Linked DNA regions of Lonchura striata. The protein of the gene in region 1 interacts with the protein of each later gene in a pairwise test. Links are inferred from orthologs where the notes say so. Each region holds a gene or a part of one and is shown on either strand. Other genes may lie near its edges.

Region 1 (8,574 bases):
ATCCCTGGTTACATTTTTGGGGTCCCTGGTTACGTTTTTGGGGTCCCTGAACCCCGTTTTCCCCCCCCAGCCTACGTGCTGCCCAAGCTGTACATGAAGCTGCATTACTGGGGGTGTTTTTGGGGTCCCTGGGTGTGTTTTTGGGGTTTTTGTGATTCCTGGTTACATTTTTGGGGTCCCTGGGTGTGTTTTTTGGGGTTTTTGGGGTCCCTGGTTACATTTTTGGGGTCCCTGGTTACGTTTTTGGGGTCCCTGGTTACGTTTTTGGGGTCTCTGAACCCCGTTTTCCCTCCCCAGCCTACGTGCTGCCCAAGCTGTACGTGAAGCTGCATTACTGGGGGTGTTTTTGGGGTCCCTGGGTGTGTTTTTTAGGGTTTTTGGGGTCCCTGGGTGTGTTTTTTGGGGTTTTTGGGGTCCCTGGTTACGTTTTTGGGGTCCCTGAACCCCGTTTTCCCTCCCCAGCCTACGTGCTGCCCAAGCTGTACGTGAAGCTGCATTACTGCGTCAGCTGCGCCATCCACAGCAAGGTGGTTCGCAACCGCTCCCGCGAGGCCCGCAAGGACCGGACCCCCCCGCCCCGCTTCCGCCCCGCCGTGAGTCTGGGGGGTCCCCGAGGGGTCTGGGGGGGTCCATGAGGGGTCTGGGGGGTCCTTGAGGTGTCTGGGGGGGTCCATGAGGGGTCTGGGGGGTCCCCGAGGGGTCTGGGGGGGTCCATGAGGGGTCTGGGGGGGTCCATGAGGGGTTTGGGAGGGTCCCCGAGGGGTCTGGGGGGGTCCATGAGGGGTCTGGGGGGGTCCATGAGGGGTTTGGGGGGTCCCCGAGGGGTTTGGGGGGGTCCATGAAGGGTTTGGGGGGTCCCCGAGGGGTCTGGGGGGGTTTATGAGGGGTCTGGGGGGTCCCCGAGGGGTTTGTGGGGTCCCTAAGGGGTTTGGGAGGGTCCCCGAGGGGTCTGGGGGGGTCCCTGAGGGGTTTGGGAGGGTCCCTGACGGGTTTGGGGGGTCCATTAGAGGTTTGTGGGGTTCTCAAGGTGTCTGGGGGGGTCCCCGAGGTGTCTGGGGGGGTCCATGAGGGGTTTGGGGGGGTCCATGAAGGGTTTGGGGGGTCCATGAGGGGTTTGGGGGGGTCCCCGAGGGGTCTGGGGGTGTCCCTGAGGGGTTTGGGAGGGTCCCTGAGGGGTCTGGGGGGTCCATGAGGGGTTTGGGGGGTCCCTGAGGGGATTGAAGGGTCCCAGGTGTGTTCAAAAGGGGTTTGGGGGGGTCTCTGTGGGGTTGGGGGTGTCCCCGATGGGTTTGGAAGGGTCCTGGAGGGGTTTGGGGGGGTCCCAGGGCGGTTTGGGGGTGCCCCAGGCTTCTTTGGGGGCATCCCTGAGGGGTTTTGGGGGGTCCCCGAGGGGTTTGAGGGGTCCCAAGGGTGTTCAGAAGGGTCCTGGAGGGGTTTGGGGGGGTCCCCCAGGGGTCCCAGGGGCTTGGCGGGGTCTGGGGGTGTCCCTGAGGGGTTTTGGGGGTCCCTGAGGGGTTTGGAGGTCCCAGGGATGTTTGGGGGGGGATCCCCAAGGGGTTTGGGGGGTCCCAGGGGTGTTGAGAAGGGACCTGGGGGGATCCCAGAGGGGTTTTGGGGGGTCCCAGAGGGCGTTTGGGGGGGTCTGGGGGTACCTGGAGGGGGTTTTGGGGGTCCTAAAGGGTTCTTGAGGGGGTCCCAGGGAGCATTTGGGGGGATTTTGGGGGCACCAAAGGGGTTTGGGGGGGTCCTTGGGGGTCCCACACAATTTAGGGGATCCCAAGGGGTCTCAGGGGGTTTTGGGGGGTCCCAGGGGACGTTTGGGGGGGATCCTGGAGGGGTCTGGGGGTACCTGGGTGGGGGTCCCACACAGTTTTGGGGGTTCCTGGAAGGATTTTTGGGGGGTCCCATGGGTCTGTGCCCCCCCCCCCCTCCAGCCCCCCTAATTTTGGGGTTCTCTCTGCAGGGAGCCGCCCCCCGCCCCCCCCCAAAACCCATGTGAGGACCCCCGGTGAGGACCCCCGGAGCCGCGGGACCCCCAGAGCAGCGTCAATAAAGGATCTGCCCCAGCCCGCTCGTTTTGGGGGGATTTGGGATTTTGGGGGGTCCTGAGGGTGTTTTGGGGGGGATTTGGGATTTTTGGGGGGTCCTGAGGGGTCTCAGGATCTCCCCCAGCCCGCTTGTTTTGGGGGGATTTGGGATTTTTGGGGGGTCCTGAGGGTGTTTTGGGGGGATTTGGGATTTTGGGGGGTCCTGAGTGAGGGGGTCTCAGGATCTGCCCAAACCCGTTCGATTTTTGGGGGGACTCGGGGTTTTGGGGGGTCCTGAGGGGGTCTCTGATCTTACTCCGTGGTTTTGGGGATTTGGGGGGGCTCCGGGTTCCTCCAGTGTGGCCTGGGGGTGTTTGGGGCCAGACCCCCCGTTTTTGGGGCCAGACCTCCCCCATTTTGGGGTGTTTGGGGCCAGACCCCCCCCATTTTGGGGTGTTTGGGGTCAGACCCCCCGTTTTTGGGGCCAGACCTCCCCCATTTTGGGGTGTTTGGGGCCAGACCCCCCGTTTTTGGGGTGTTTGGGGTCAGACCCCCCGGTTTTGGGGTGTTTGGGGTCAGACCCCCCCCATTTTGGGGTGTTTGGGGTCAGACCCCCCGGTTTTGGGGCAGGACCCTCTCCGTTTTTGGGGTGTTTGGGGTCAGACCCCCCGGTTTTGGGATTTTTTGGGGTCAGACCCCCCGTTTTTGGGGTGTTTGGGGTCAGACCCCCCGGTTTTGGGGTCAGAACCGCCGGTTTTGGCATTTTTGGGGTCAGACCCCTGCCCCCGTTTTGGGGGGGGTCTTCAATGGTCCCTACCTCCCCTCCCCCTCCCGTTCGATTTTTTGGGGAGGGGTCTCGATGAGACCGGGGGGTACAAACGGGGCTGGGGGGCACCGGTGACCGGACCGGGGGCATGGAGAGGGTGAACCGGGACCGGGGGTGTGAACGGCACCGGGGGCACGGAGGGGGCGAATTGAGACCGGGACCGGGACCGGGGGTCGGCGGGACCGGGCGTGTGAACGGGGCTGGGGGCACCGGCGACCGGACCGGGGGCTCGGACCAGGACCGGGACTGGGGGATCTGAACGGGGCCGGGGGCACCGGGAGTCCGGAGGGGCGAATTTGCTCCGGTACCGGGACCGGGGGTGTGAACGGGGCCGGGGGCACGGAGGGGGCGAATTGAGACCGGGACCGGGACCGGAACCGGGACCGGGAGTGTGAACGGGGCTGGGGGCACCGGCGACCGGACCGGGGGCTCGGACCAGGACCGGGACTGGGGGCACCGGGAGTCCGGAGGGGCGAATTTGCTCCGGGACCGGGACCGGGCGTGTGAACGGGGCTGGGGGGGCACCGGTGACCGGACCGGGGGTCCAGAGGGGGCGAACCGGGACCGGGACCGGGGATGTGAACGGGACTGGGGGCACCGGGAGTCCGGAAGGGGTGAATTGACACCGGGACCGGGACCGGGGGTGTGAACGGGACCGGGGGCACGGAGGGGGCGAATTGACACCGGGACCGGGACCGGGGATGTGAACGGGGCCGGGGGCACGGAGGGGGCGAATTGAGACCGGGACCGGGGGTCGGCGGGACCGGGCGTGTGAACGGGGCTGGGGGCACCGGCGACCGGACCGGGGGTCCAGAGGGGGCGAACCGGGACCGGGACCGGGGGTGTGAACGGGACTGGGGGCACCGGGAGTCCGGAAGGGGTGAATTGAGACCGGGACCGGGACCGGGGGTGTGAACGGCGCTGGGGGGCGTACCGGGAGTCCGGAGGGGGCGAATTTGCTCCGGTACCGGGACTGGGACCGGGGGCGCGGCGGGACCGGTGGTGTGAACGGGGCTGGGGGGGCACCGGCGACCGGACCGGGGCTCGGAGGGGGCGAACCGGGACCGGGGGATGTGAACGGGGCCGGGGGCACCGGGAGCTCGTAGAGGGCGAATTTGCACCGGGACCGGCACCGGGACCGGGCTGGGGGCGTGGGGGCTTCACTTGACCGGACCGGAGGGCCCCGGGCCGGGCCGGAGGCGCCGCGCGGGGCCGGTCCCGGCCCGGTGAGGGCGGCCGCTGCCGGTGCCACCGCCCCGGGCGGGTCCCGGGAGGGGCGGGGAGGGGCAGCGGGGTGTCCTCCCCCCCTCCGCCATCCCCGGCCCGGCCCGGCCCGGCCCCGCCCGCCCCGGGGCCCCGCGCCAGGTGCATTCCCGGGCACGCTCCGCCGCTACCGGCGCCCGCGATGGAGCCGCACCGGGAGCGGCACCGGGCGCTGCTGCCGCTGCTGCTGCCGGTGCTGCTGCTCCCCGCGCCCGGCTCCGCGCAGGCAGGTGAGCACCGGCACCGGCACCGGCACCGGCACCGGGGGCAGCGGGGCTGCGCCGTGGGATCGGGCACAGGGGAACCGGGGAAGCACCGGAGCGCTCGGGGCTCCCGGGATGGGCGGCGGGAGCGGGAGCGCTCGGGGGTGGCGGCGGTGCTGCTGTCCCGACTCCGCCGGTACCGGACCCCGCTCCAATCCCGGTAATTCCCGCGGCTGTTTCCGCCGCGGGGGCGTCCCGGGATCCCCCGGTGCTGCCCCCGGGGGGACCGCACGGCTCCGGGGACACCGGGACCGGCGCTGAAACCTCCCCGGGACTGCGGCTCCGGCGGGGCTGGGGCTCGGTGGCCGCTCCCGGGGCTCGGTGCCCCTTTCCGGGACTCGGTCCTTGGCTCGGTGGCCGCCCCCGGGATCCGTCCTAGACTCGGTGCCCCTTCCCGGGGCTCGGTCCCGCTCTCGGTGCCCTCTCCCTGATTCGGTCCCGGGGCTCGGTGCCCCTTTTTGGGGCTCGGTCCTGTTCTCGGTGTCCCCTCCCGGGGCTCGGTGCCCCCTCCCGTTCTCGGTGTCCCCTCCCGTTCTCGGTGTCCCTTCCCGGGCTCGGTCCCGTTCTCGGTGCCCCCTCCCGTTCTCGGTGCCCCCTCCCGGGCTCGGTGTCCCCTCCCGGGCTCGGTCCCGTTCTCGGTGCCCCCTGCCGGGGCTCGGTCCCGTTCTCGGTGTCCCCTCCCGTTCTCGGTGTCCCCTCCCGTTCTCGGTGTCCCCTCCCGGGCTCGGTCCCGTTCTCGGTGTCCCCTCCCGTTCTCGGTGTCCCCTCCCGGGCTCGACACCTGCGGCCCCGCAGCTGCCCGGGCTAATTTTAGGCTGCGGGGCCGAGCCCGGCGATGCTTTTGGGCTCCGGGCGGGACCCCCGAGGGGGGTCGGGGGTGGGGGGGATCCTTCCAGCGGGGGACCCCCGGAGGATCCCCCCGGTGCCGTCCCGCGAGGCCGCCCCGCACCCCCGGTACCCCGGAAGGGCCGCGGCCGCCCGGGAGTTGTTTTTCAATCCCCAAAGGAAAAACACCGAGGGCTGGACGCGCAGGTGGGGCCGGCGCCGCCCCGAAACACCGGGGGATGCCCGGGGGGGGTGCCCGGGGGTGCCCGGGGGTGGGGGGCACACCGGGGGGACCCCTCGCTGTGTCCCCCGCTCCATGTGCCACCGGCGACGCTTCGGGTGCCACCCACGGGCTCCGGATCCGAGGGGACAGAGGGAGCCTCGGGGACACTCGGGGGGCTCGGGGACACTCGGGGGGCCCGGGGACACCCCGGGGACACCCCGGGAGCGGCCCCAGCTCTGCACCCCCCAAACCCCGGCTCTGAGAGCCCCCTTTGTTCGGGGCCCGGCACGCACACAGCCCCCTTTGTGCCGCCGCCGGGACCGAGGGCAGGAGGTCGCTCCGAGCCCCTCCCGGTGCCCCCCGGTGCCCCCGGTGCTATTCCTGGCGCCGGGGGCCGCGGTGGCACGCGGTTGATAGCGGGGACGTGCCGGAGCTGCCGGCGGGGCCCCGCGCTGATAACGCCCGGTCCCGCCGCCGCCGCGGCGCCCGGGGGGAACCGGGGGGGTCCCACCATCGCCGCCCACCCCCCCGCGGGCAGGTGCAACCGGGGGTCGCGGCCCCCCAAAATCCCCCCGCGGGACCCTCGGAGCCTTGAAGGTGTCGGTGGGTCATTAACGGAGGAGCCGGCGGACAGGGCTGGATGCTGCCCCCCGGCACCTTGGGGTCCCCCCCGGTCCCCCCCGGTGTTTCACGGGGGTCGCAGCACCCCCCGGCCCGGGCTCCCCCCGTGCCCCTCCCCGGTGCGGCGGGGCCCGGGGCCGCTGCCGTCGCAGCTGGGACCTTTTTATAGCCCCGTTCCCTGCTCAAATGGCCCGGGCCGGGCCGGGGGGGCCCTTCCCGTGCGTGCCCCGAGCTCCGCCGCCGCCCCCGGAGGGGTCCCGGGCCGGACAAAGCCGCCTTTGACCGCGGCCCCCCCTCCCCGCGCCCCGGCCTGAGTCACGGCTGGCGGATCCGGGGGGGCCCCGCGCCCCTCGGTGCCCCCGGGGGTCCCGGTTTGGGGGGCGTCCCCCGCCACAATCGCGGCTTTGTGCGGTGCCGGCCCCGCGCACAAAGGGGGCCCTGTGCGCCCGCACGACAACCGGGGGACCCCGAGCCGCCGCCCCCGCCGGGACCCCGCAGCGGGGCGGGCGCGGGGCTCGGCCCGCGGGGCGGCGGCGGCGGCGGGGCCGAAGTCCGGGCGGGCGTGGCGGGGCCGTGCCCGAGGCGCCCGCCTTGCGCAAGGCTCGCCCGGCCGGTTCGGGCACCGCGAGCGGGGAGGGACCGCGAGGGAGCGGCGGGGGAGGACCCGGGGCGGGGAGAGCGGCGGGGAGGGGGACACCGCGGGCTGGGTGACACGGAGGGGACACGGCCACCGCGGGCTGGGTGACACGGAGGGGACAGGGACATGGAGGGGACAGGGACATGGAGGGGACAGGGACACCGCGGGCTGGGTGACACGGAGGGGACAGGGACACCGTGGAGGGGACAGGGACACCGTGGAAGGGACAGGGACATGGAGGGGACAGGGACACCATGGAAGGGACAGGGACATGGAGGGGACAGGGACATGGAGGGGACAAGGACATGGAGGGGACAGGGGCGTGGTGGAGGGGACACGGCCACCATGGAGGGGACAGGGACACCGTGGAGGGGACAGGGACACGGAGGGGACAGGGACATGGAGGGGACAGGGACATGGAGGGGACAGGGACACCGCGGGCTGGGTGACATGGAGGGGACAGGGACACCATGGAAGGGACAGGGACACCATGGAGGGAATAAGGACATGGAGGAGACAGGGGCATGGTGGAGGGGACAAGGACATGGAGGAGACAAGGACGTGGTGGAGGGGACAGGGACACCCTGAAGGGGAACACCATGGAGGGGTGGGGACGTTTGCAGGGGACACCATGGAAAGGACAGAACCCCCATGGGGACACTGCCATAGCCAGGAGACCATGGAGGGGACAGGGCCACCACGGGGGCCACCACGGGCAGGACATGTCCAGCTCTGAGGGGACAGGAGTAGTGACCATCCAAGGGACGTTGTGACCACTGAGGAGGTGACACAGCGACCATGGGGACCGTGGCCAGTTTGGAGGGGTTGGGGACATCAAGGGACGTGAAGGGGATGACATGGCCATGAGGAGGTGACACAACCACCACGACCGTGGCCACCACGGGCAGGACATGGCCAGCTGGGAGGGGACATTGCTGTGACCGTGCAGGGGTGGCTGTGGTGGCCCCAGTGGCCCCGTTGCCCATGGTGGCTGTGGTGGCCCTGGTAGCCCTGGTGGCCCTGGTCACCCTGGTGACTGTGGTGGCCCCAGTGACGTGGTGGCCCTGGTGGTCATGGTGGCCACGGTGGCCCCGGTGACCCTGGTGATCCTGGTGGCCCTGGTGACCCTGGTGATCCTGGTGGCCCTGGTGACCCTGGTGGCTGTGGTGGCCATGGTGGTGGCCCCAGTGGCCCTGGTGGCCCCGGTGGCCATGGTGGTCCCGGTGACCCTGGTGGCCCTGGTGGCTGTGGTGGCCCTGGTGGCCCCAATGGCCCTGGTGGCCGCGGTGGCCCCGGTGACCCTGGTGGCTGTGGTGGCCCTGGTGGCCGTGGTGGCCCTGGTGGCCCCAGTGGCCCTGGTGGCCGTGGTGGCCCTGGTGGCCCCAATGGCCCTGGTGACCCTGGTGGCCATTGTGGCCCTGGTGGCTGTGGTGGCCCCGGTGGCCCTGGTGGCCATGGTGGCCCCGGTGACCCTGGTGGCCCTGGTGGCCGCGGTGGCCCCGGTGACCCTGGTGGCCGTGGTGGCCGCGGTGGCCCCGGTGACGCGGTGGTGCCCGCAGTGTGCGCGGGGACGCTGAACGGGCTGAGCGTGACGGGCGACGCGCAGCACCAGTACCAGACCCTGCACAAGATGTACAACAACTGCGAGATCGTCATGGGCAACCTGGAGATCGTCCTCATCGACCACACCCAGGACCTCTCCTTCCTCCAGGTGACCCCCAGGGACACGCGGGGGTGGCCGAGGGGGGGACGTGGCCAGCTCCGAGGGGACAGGGACCTCAGAGGGGACAGGGACCTCAGAGGGGACAGGGACCTCAGAGGGGACATCGCTGCGGTCATCAAGGGGAGGACGTGGCCAGTTTGGTGGTCACATGTCCACCATGGAGACC
Region 2 (8,157 bases), on another chromosome or scaffold:
TTATCATCAGGCCTTTGAGGGCATATTCTTGAACCACCCAAAAGCATTACTATTTACAGGCTCAGTGAGAGTTTGGAGGAGAATTTAATTTACTACCACAGTCCAGAGTGTCTGTCCCCAACCATGAGTAGCATCTATTCCCCAAAATATTAAATGACAATTTGAAATCTCACTGGCTATTTCTTTGAACCAAGGAGTACCATCTCTTCAGCAATATGGAGTTTTCTAACTACCTCCAAACTTTCCACCAGGAGTCTGGAATGATCTTAGGGCCTTCTTTTCTCAGTAAAATCTGCAACCATATTTTCAAAAAATATATTGGAACTAAATTTTGAGTTTACCTTTATTTACCTTTTATTTGCAAAACATTGCTTCTTTAACATAGAATATTAATACACAATATTATTTTTACTTCTGTGTTTGCTTAACCACAAATTCCCTCTAATCCACATGTTCTGGTTAGGAACTGAGTGCTCTTTTATCACAAGGACAGTGTCCTGAACTGTTTTCTAAAATTCCTCCATGTTTTTTTTAACCAAAGTACTGGAAATAGTATATCCACTTTTCAATTATTTCATTTTGACACTGTAACATTACTTTTAGCCTTTGTCTGTATCTGTCCTTTTTTCTTTGCTATCCATCCTGCATTCTTTCTATTCCCCATTGCTGTATTAACATTTAGTCTTCCTCTTGTTGAGCAAAACCAAGGCAAAATATTACATGAAACTTTCAAAATTTTCCCCCTTCATTTCTTAATGTGAAGATGACCTTATTATCTGTGGTGATTTCCTTCCTTTCTTCACAGATGGTGTAATCTAGAAGGGGTACACAGGGAAGTGGTGAAGAACTAACTACCCTTCTTTAGTGAATTAGTTTCCATGGGAAGTTTACTCAGCTGAAAACGAAAGAGTTTGTTTGCTTTGCAGATAAAAAAGTAACCATGTACCATAAATATTGTCAGTGTCTGAGAATGCCTTCTTGTGAAACCAGAGCAGTCACCATTTGTCAAACTAGTATGAAGGCCAGTTAAAACACTAGATGTATACATGCTTCAGATAACCTGCTAACTTTTATAAAACTGAGGTAAAAGGTGAGAAAATTGCATGAAAACACTGCCAGATCAAGTAGCTTCCCAAAGGTACTGATTTTTTGGTAGGACTTGATTTACAGTTTATTAATTTGAACATTAAACAAATGTAATTATTGAGATTTGTCAACAGAAACTTCTAGAAGGATTAATTGCCTCACCAATAACAATAGAACATTAAAAATCGGAATTTTAAAAACCCTGTAGAACTCACCTTCATTCCTCTTTAGTGCAGTATCAAAGCTGTTTGCAAATTACCTTTGTCCCATACTATTTCCCATTTATTACCATTTCTGTAGTTCACAGTTATTTTCATCACTACTAAGAGTAAAATGGGCATTGCATGTAATAAAAAATGCCGACTCTTTCAGGCATGCACATCATCGTTGATCCAACACACAAATATTCCCACAAATATCCTGCCTTGGTAATCTTAAATGAAGCTTAAGTGGAGCCAGCCATGAAATGGCACAAAATCCCTGGATTAGCCATTAACTCCACATTGCCACATACAAACCATTATTTCACCTACTTATTACTTCACCGCCCACCCCTGCTGCCTGTCACTGCTGCTTGCTTCTTGCCACACACACCTCTTGAGCAATGCCAGCGTTGAGTTTTAGCCCACAGAAACCAGCCAGATACGCACATTTTCTACTGATTAGGAATGTGCTGTTTACACTGGGTTATGGACTCGTGTGCACAGTGTAGGTTTTCAGTTAATCTCTAACATTTAAGCAGGTCATGTTTGAAAAGCTGTAGGGGATAACGCTTATTACTTTAGAGAAAATGTAGGGTAATATTCATTATTTTGGGAAGTCCACTCTTCCCAAAGAATTGTAAAGGTTGTACAGCTAGTGAGATGATATGGAAAACTTTTTCTAAATTTGTTATAAAGCCATATATGAAATTAGGTAAAAGGAAGGGGATGAGAACCCCTGTAAAAGCTAGAAGCAAGGAGAAAGGCAGGGTCAGCCTAATCTGTGATCTCTTGCAGTATTTCTGTAGATTTTTGTTTTAGTTTTCACTGGGGGGAAGAGTGGCTGCTACAGTAAATGGGATGGAAGAGTCAGTAGTAGCTGTGTATACAATGTACATACTGAGCAAAATTATCTATTGATACCCGGAGTATCTCTCTGGCAGGTGCCCAAGAAGCAAAGTAGAGGATGCAAACAGGGACCTGATAAAATTACAGCCCAGTTCCATACCTGCTGAAATCTGTGCAAGATGTATGATTACTTTAAAGAGTACCAAACTCTTAAAAAATTCCTTAGTGAATAGTGAATCTCTTGAAATAAAAAGTTTCAAAAATCCAAGAAATATCTAGGCTAAATAAATTTTGCATTAATCAACCCTAAGATACAGCATTTTTTTGCCAGATTTGTCACTGCTTTAATAATACATGAATTATATTTAAATGACTATGAGATATAAGCCTGAGGAAAGGGGAAAAAAAAAAAAGAAAAAAGATCCCTAGCTATATAAAAGTATCTTGAGTCCCAGATCATGTGGACACTGCAAAGTTAACTAGGTTGATTGGCAGCTGGGTCTGGGCTCTCAAATTAGCTTGTCTGTGAGCAAGTTTTCTATGACAGAAGGGTAACCGCAGCCTCAGCATTCTGGCTCTTTCTGAACTGGCTCACGGGTGCCTGTGCTGAGGCAATCTAGGTTTCATTCTCATTCAGCTCTATCAACTGGCAGGGAGCTTTGGGAAGCAGTACTGGCACACAGGGGTGAATAGCTCATCTTCTTGGTGTGGAGTAGATGCATTTGAACCCACAGAGAGCAAAGCATCTGCTCCTAGAGGTGTAGCTGCATCAGTCACCTGAGAGAAAAAGCGCCCTCAGAGTTCTGTGCAAGGATTTCCTAACGTGAGCGGTGGTGCCCGTGACCTTGGAGGCAAAAGCTGAACAGCATTTTCTGCACTGTGGACGTAACTCTGGAGGCCCTGGAAAAATAATCCCATAGTGTGTCTATGTGGAAGACTGGGAGGGAATTTCAACTCCAGATAGAAAAGCTCCCAACTTTTTCAAGGTCGGTTTACTTTGTAAACACTCCAGAAAATGAACAGATGAATAAATAAAAATGCTTTACGAGCAGTGTTTTGAGCCGTGGTCTCAAGTTCTGCGTGTGACAGGTGTTCATTCACTTTGATGTATTCAGTGTGTGGGGAGGAAACACCTCAGCATAAAGAAGGGGACAAGGGCATCAGCGAACTATGGTGTGGGAAGAGGTATGCCATTTTGGGAATGTAGCTTTGCCAGGGGAGGTTTAGGCTGGGCATCAGGAAGAATTTCTTCGCAGAAAGGGAGGTTAGACATCAGAATAGGCTGCCCAGGGAGATGGTGCAGTCACCATCCCTGGAGGTGTTTAAGGAAACACTGGATGTGGCACTCGGTGCCACGGTCTAGTTACATGGTGGTGTTCGGTCACGGGGTGGACTCGATGAACTCAGGAGTCTTTTCCAACCTGATCGATTCTGTGCTTCAGTGATTGCACTCTGCAGGCGGCCGGCCCCAGTGTCAGCAGGGCGCGGTGGAGGCACCAAGGGCGACCACGAGACGCCTCACTCGGGCACCCACACGAGCGGGACCGCGGACCCTCCGTCCCCTGAGCCGGGACACGGCGCTCGATCCCCGCGGGCAGAGGGGAAGGCAGAGGAGCGAGGAACCTGCTCCAGCCCCGCTCTTTGCAGCCCCGGCACCCCGAGCGGCGCCGTGCGAGGCGCAGCGGGTCCCGCCGGGGCGGCCAGGCCCCGCCCCCTCGGGCGGGACGCCTGCCCCCGCGCGCCCTGATTGGCTGGCGGTGATGTAATCGCGCGCACATACGGGTACTCCCCACGGCCCCCCGTGGGGCACGGGGGAGGTCGCGCGCCTCTCGCCCGCCCCGCGACCAATCGCCGTGCGGAGCGGCTCGGGGCGCGGGCCGCACCGCGCTCGGCTGCCCCGCCGGCCGCGCTTGATTGGCAGGGGCAGCGGCCAATCAGGATAAGGCACCCGCGGGTCGGTTCGCGCCCCCTTGGCGAAGCGGCGGCCGGGGCGAGAGAGGCCGCGGGAGTGGCGGCGCCGGGAGCCAATGGCCTGAAGGCAAACCGTGCCGCCGGGAGGGAGGGGATGGGGCGGCGGGACGGAGGCTGGGAGGGGCGAGGGCGCTCGCTGACAGCCGCTTCCGTCAGTCCTGCCGAGGCTGCGAGGCCGGAAAAAAAAAGTGCGGAGAAAGACGGAGTCCGTGCGCTGTCGTCTTGACTGATGAGAGCTGCAGCCAATAGTTACCAAAGCAGACGAGGGAGACCCAATCAGAGGAAAGCTTTTCGGCGGGGCCTGCGCGTGAGCGGCGAGCGCATCTGCCAATGACAGTGAGGAAGGGCTGTGCCGACGGGGCCGGCGGCCAATGGGCGGCGGGCCGGGGCGGGCGGGCTGAGCCCGGCCCCGCCCGCCTCTCCGAGCGCGGTGACGCGGGCGGGGGGGACGGCGGCTCCAACATGTCCGCGCTGCTGGCGGCGCTCCGAGTGCGCGACCGGGCGGCGGCGGCGGCCGGCGGCGGCCTGCGCGGGGCGGCGCGCACCTGAGTCCGAGCCAGCACCGCCCGCACCCGCGCCGGGCTCCGCAGCGCCGCCGGGTGCCGGGGGACGCGGGGCACGCAGGTAGAGCGGCCGGGGTAAAGCGGGGGAAGGGGCTGAGCGGGCGGGCCGGGGCTGCGGCGCCGGGGGGGCGCGGCGAACGCGGCGTGCGGCGGGTGCGCCCCCGGGGAGCGAGCGGGCGCAGCGAGGCCCGGCCGCCGCCTCCCTGCCGCCGCGGGAGAAGGGAGGGCCGGGGCCGCGCTGACACGGCCCAGGCCACGCACGGCCCTGTGGCGGGCGAGCCGGCGGCTCGGCCTCGCCTGGGTGGCACCGGAGTGTCCGGCGTGTGCCGGCGGCCGGCGGGCTCGCGCACGTGCATGGGCCGGGCCCTGGGGAGCGCCGGGCCGGGCCCGCGCTACCGGCGGGCTGGGTGGGGGGAGCGGCGGCACGGCCCCGGTGTCGGGGAGAAGGTCCGCAAGGCCTGGGTGCTTCTGACGGGCTGGGGATGAAAGCACGGGCAGATGGGCAGTGCCTGGCAGCTTTAGGCGGAAGGAGTTGAAGGCAGTTCTTAGTCGTAGTTTGGAGCTTGCTGGCTCTGCGAACCCAGTGGATATACTTTTATTATAATCTACAATAATACTTCTCTCGGAAGGATGGCGTAATTTTGATGAATTCACTTGGAGGCAGCTAGAAAAATCTGTACCTCTCTCGTTTTGTGTGCTGCGGTATGTTGAGGGATGTGTTTTTACTGTGGGGATGCAGGTGGTGGGTGAAACCACACGTGTTTGGGAGTAGTGGTACAGGAAGGCCTGTGAATATAGGAGTAATAGGTAAACGGGCTTCTGTGTGTTTTGAGAAATAAGGTGGTAAGTTGGCAGGCGTCTAAAGGCTATGGAGGAGGGAGGCTTTGGGTGGTAGGGAAGCCTGTATACAAGTTACAGGCACAGTGGTAACAGGTTGCTACAAGGTTCTGAACTTGTTTTGTTTCGTGGCCAGTGTGGTTAGACTTAATGTGCGAGACCTTAGTGTGTAATATGAGCTGGTATGTGGACAGCAAGTCATGCGTGTTCCTACTGCTGTGCTTTGGTTTGTTTGCTGCTCACACTGGGAGCTGAGAGAGATGCCCGGCTGTCACCGGCTCGATGAGCTCTCTGTCTGGTGTGTGGACATGGGCTAGAGTAGCGAGCAACGTGGTCTGTGTCCTGGAAACTTGAGAGGAGCTGTGAGTTGATGTTTCACGTGTAATGAAGTGGAAAGGCTGGATATTTGTTGTTTAGTTTGTGGAATACAAATGGGAAAACATGTAGCAAATGCTAGCTGTTGGGATCATGATAGTGCTTTTTGGAGAAAAGTCTGTGTGTGTGCTGGGGAGCTGTAGAACTGTAGTTACATGTTTCTGACAGGTATCAGGCACTCTAAATTTCTATTAGATCATCAACACTGTCTTCTTGTAGGTAAATTTTCAAGGATGACTGTGGACTATAGGAAAGTGAGGGGGCTTGGGTGGGTATTTGGGAATGGTTGAAAATGGAGGGAAGAATGAACTTGTACCCAGGGTGAAGATTATGTTAGGATATGTATACATGTGTGTATCAGGGGAATGGTATTTGTGCAAAAGGGAAGCTGGAGTTTTCGTACTGCTGAGTTGGTTAATCTGTGTATAAGAGAGGAGGCAGGCGTTTTTGGCTGAGGCTATGAAAAGTTGAAATGGTGTGGGGGAGGGATGATGAACCGGCTCCAGGGTCCTGTACAGGTTGGTGGCTGTGGGGATTCTTTGCTGCTCATTGTATGGAGAGAAATATTTTATAGTTATGATACCTGGTGAAAATGAAAAAAAGTGAATAAAGATGATGAGGCAGTTTAGTACTGTTAGGAATATTACTGGATTAAAGGAGGTTACAGGACAGTCAAGGGGTTTCTGGTAAAGTAAGTGCTTTTTTTGTTTGTTTATTTTATTCTGTTTGTTTCACTGGATAAATTGACCATTAACTTTAAAGGTTAACTTTTGCTGAAACTAGCACTCATCATGGTGTTGACAGGTCAGTGGCTAACTAAAAGCACTTAATGTGGTGTAGACAAGTTCTTGTGTGTGTGCGCTTGGGCTCCAGTACATCCATTATGTGTATGCATTTTCTATACCTTAACACTTAACTGAGTTTGCATATCCAGAGTATATGAAGTTTTCTATACTGGACTTGTGTTTGAGAGAGTACATCAACACTGGAGGGTCAGAGGTTTGTGAAGAGACAATCCATTTAGAATGGAATGCTGCTTGGATCAATTGGAAATGAGCATTAAATATGTGTGTATTCCATGTTCTGAAGTCTGGGATGGTATGTTCTGTTTATTTGTGTAGGCCCTTATCTGTTGTTCTGCAGATATTTAGAGGAGGCTGTTACATAGGGCGGTGATTTAATTAAGGCACAAAACATCAGGATGAGGGACATGTAATTAATGTAGTATGGAGAGGGCTGCATAGGGAATGCTGAGAACCCATTTTTCTTTTGTAGTGGTATCCATGAGGTGACCAGTTAGTGATGTAAGGAACAAGAGAAAGAAATGAGTAGTCTTGTAGCTATCCTGGACAATCCAGTTCTTTTCTTGTCTGGGGTACATTGCTCTTTTAAGCTTTTCCAATGATAATCACTAATATGTGCTTCTGATTTAGTAAACTTGTCTCAAGAAATAAAAATCTATTACAATTGAAATTCAAGCCTGCAAAATGTGTGTGTTGAACAATTGTTTCACATGCTCACTGTCAAAAACTACTGCTCTCAGGGGTCCAATGGAGAGCAGAGAGTATTTCTTATATGAATCTGTTGCTTCCATATGACAAAAGGGAAAGGCACTAAAATCTGCTCCTAGTAGTGGATGTAAAAATCTGTGTTTATGAAGTATTTGTGTTACTCTTTGAAGCAGGCCTTATTTAGACTGCAGCAAGGGATGGGATGTGCATGGAACAGTGGTCAGTGAGTATTGAATGTCCTCCTTAAATGGAGCAGACTGCAGCACACCTTGCTGAATGCTGCTGCCACAGTGTTTAGCAGGGCAGGGGTGGGCTTGGTTTGTCAGTGTGGTTTCTGTTGCTTGATTTGGTCTTGGGTTGTTTTTTTGTTTTTTTTTGTTTGTTTTTTTTTTTTAAAAAACACTGAAAATGAAAATGGATCATTTGGTAGTGCCTTGCATCATCAGTCCAGTAGGAATGCTTAAATCTGCCATATAGGTTTACTGCTGTAGCTTAGGAAGTGGGAAATGGCTGTTCTTTTCCAGTCAGCACTGGAACATAATTAGCTAACCATTGGCTTTTACAAGCATGGTTTCTTCCAAATGAATGGGAAAGCCTTGGTGAAAGAATCAAAGCTCCAGACTCCATGTTTCGACTGTGGAGAGTGATTACTGTAACAGGCCATACATATTTTTGTGCCCATAGTAGTTTTGGTTTTTTTTCCCCTAGGACTGGTTCTTTCTGCTCACTACCTTAATAAAATATGCTCTATTTTGTTTGGGGTTT

The links.
Region 2: the proteins of ERBB3 (region 1) and PPM1B interact in a two-hybrid assay, tested with the Homo sapiens proteins (2 studies listed by BioGRID and IntAct, with this or other methods). The link is inferred for Lonchura striata from reciprocal best matches to the Homo sapiens genes ERBB3 and PPM1B.

Annotation. Positions count from the first base shown.
Region 1 is NC_134629.1:9,399,761-9,408,334, forward strand, and holds the start of ERBB3 (receptor tyrosine-protein kinase erbB-3), read left to right. Parts: upstream 1-4,239; 5' UTR 4,240-4,258; coding exon 4,259-4,346; intron 4,347-8,244; coding exon 8,245-8,396; intron 8,397-8,574. Other genes in the region: RPS26 (small ribosomal subunit protein eS26), read left to right, coding at 463-593, 1,964-1,999. UniProt on the Homo sapiens protein: Tyrosine-protein kinase that plays an essential role as cell surface receptor for neuregulins.
Region 2 is NC_134605.1:15,526,746-15,534,902, forward strand, and holds the start of PPM1B (protein phosphatase 1B), read left to right. Parts: upstream 1-4,631; 5' UTR 4,632-4,730; intron 4,731-8,157.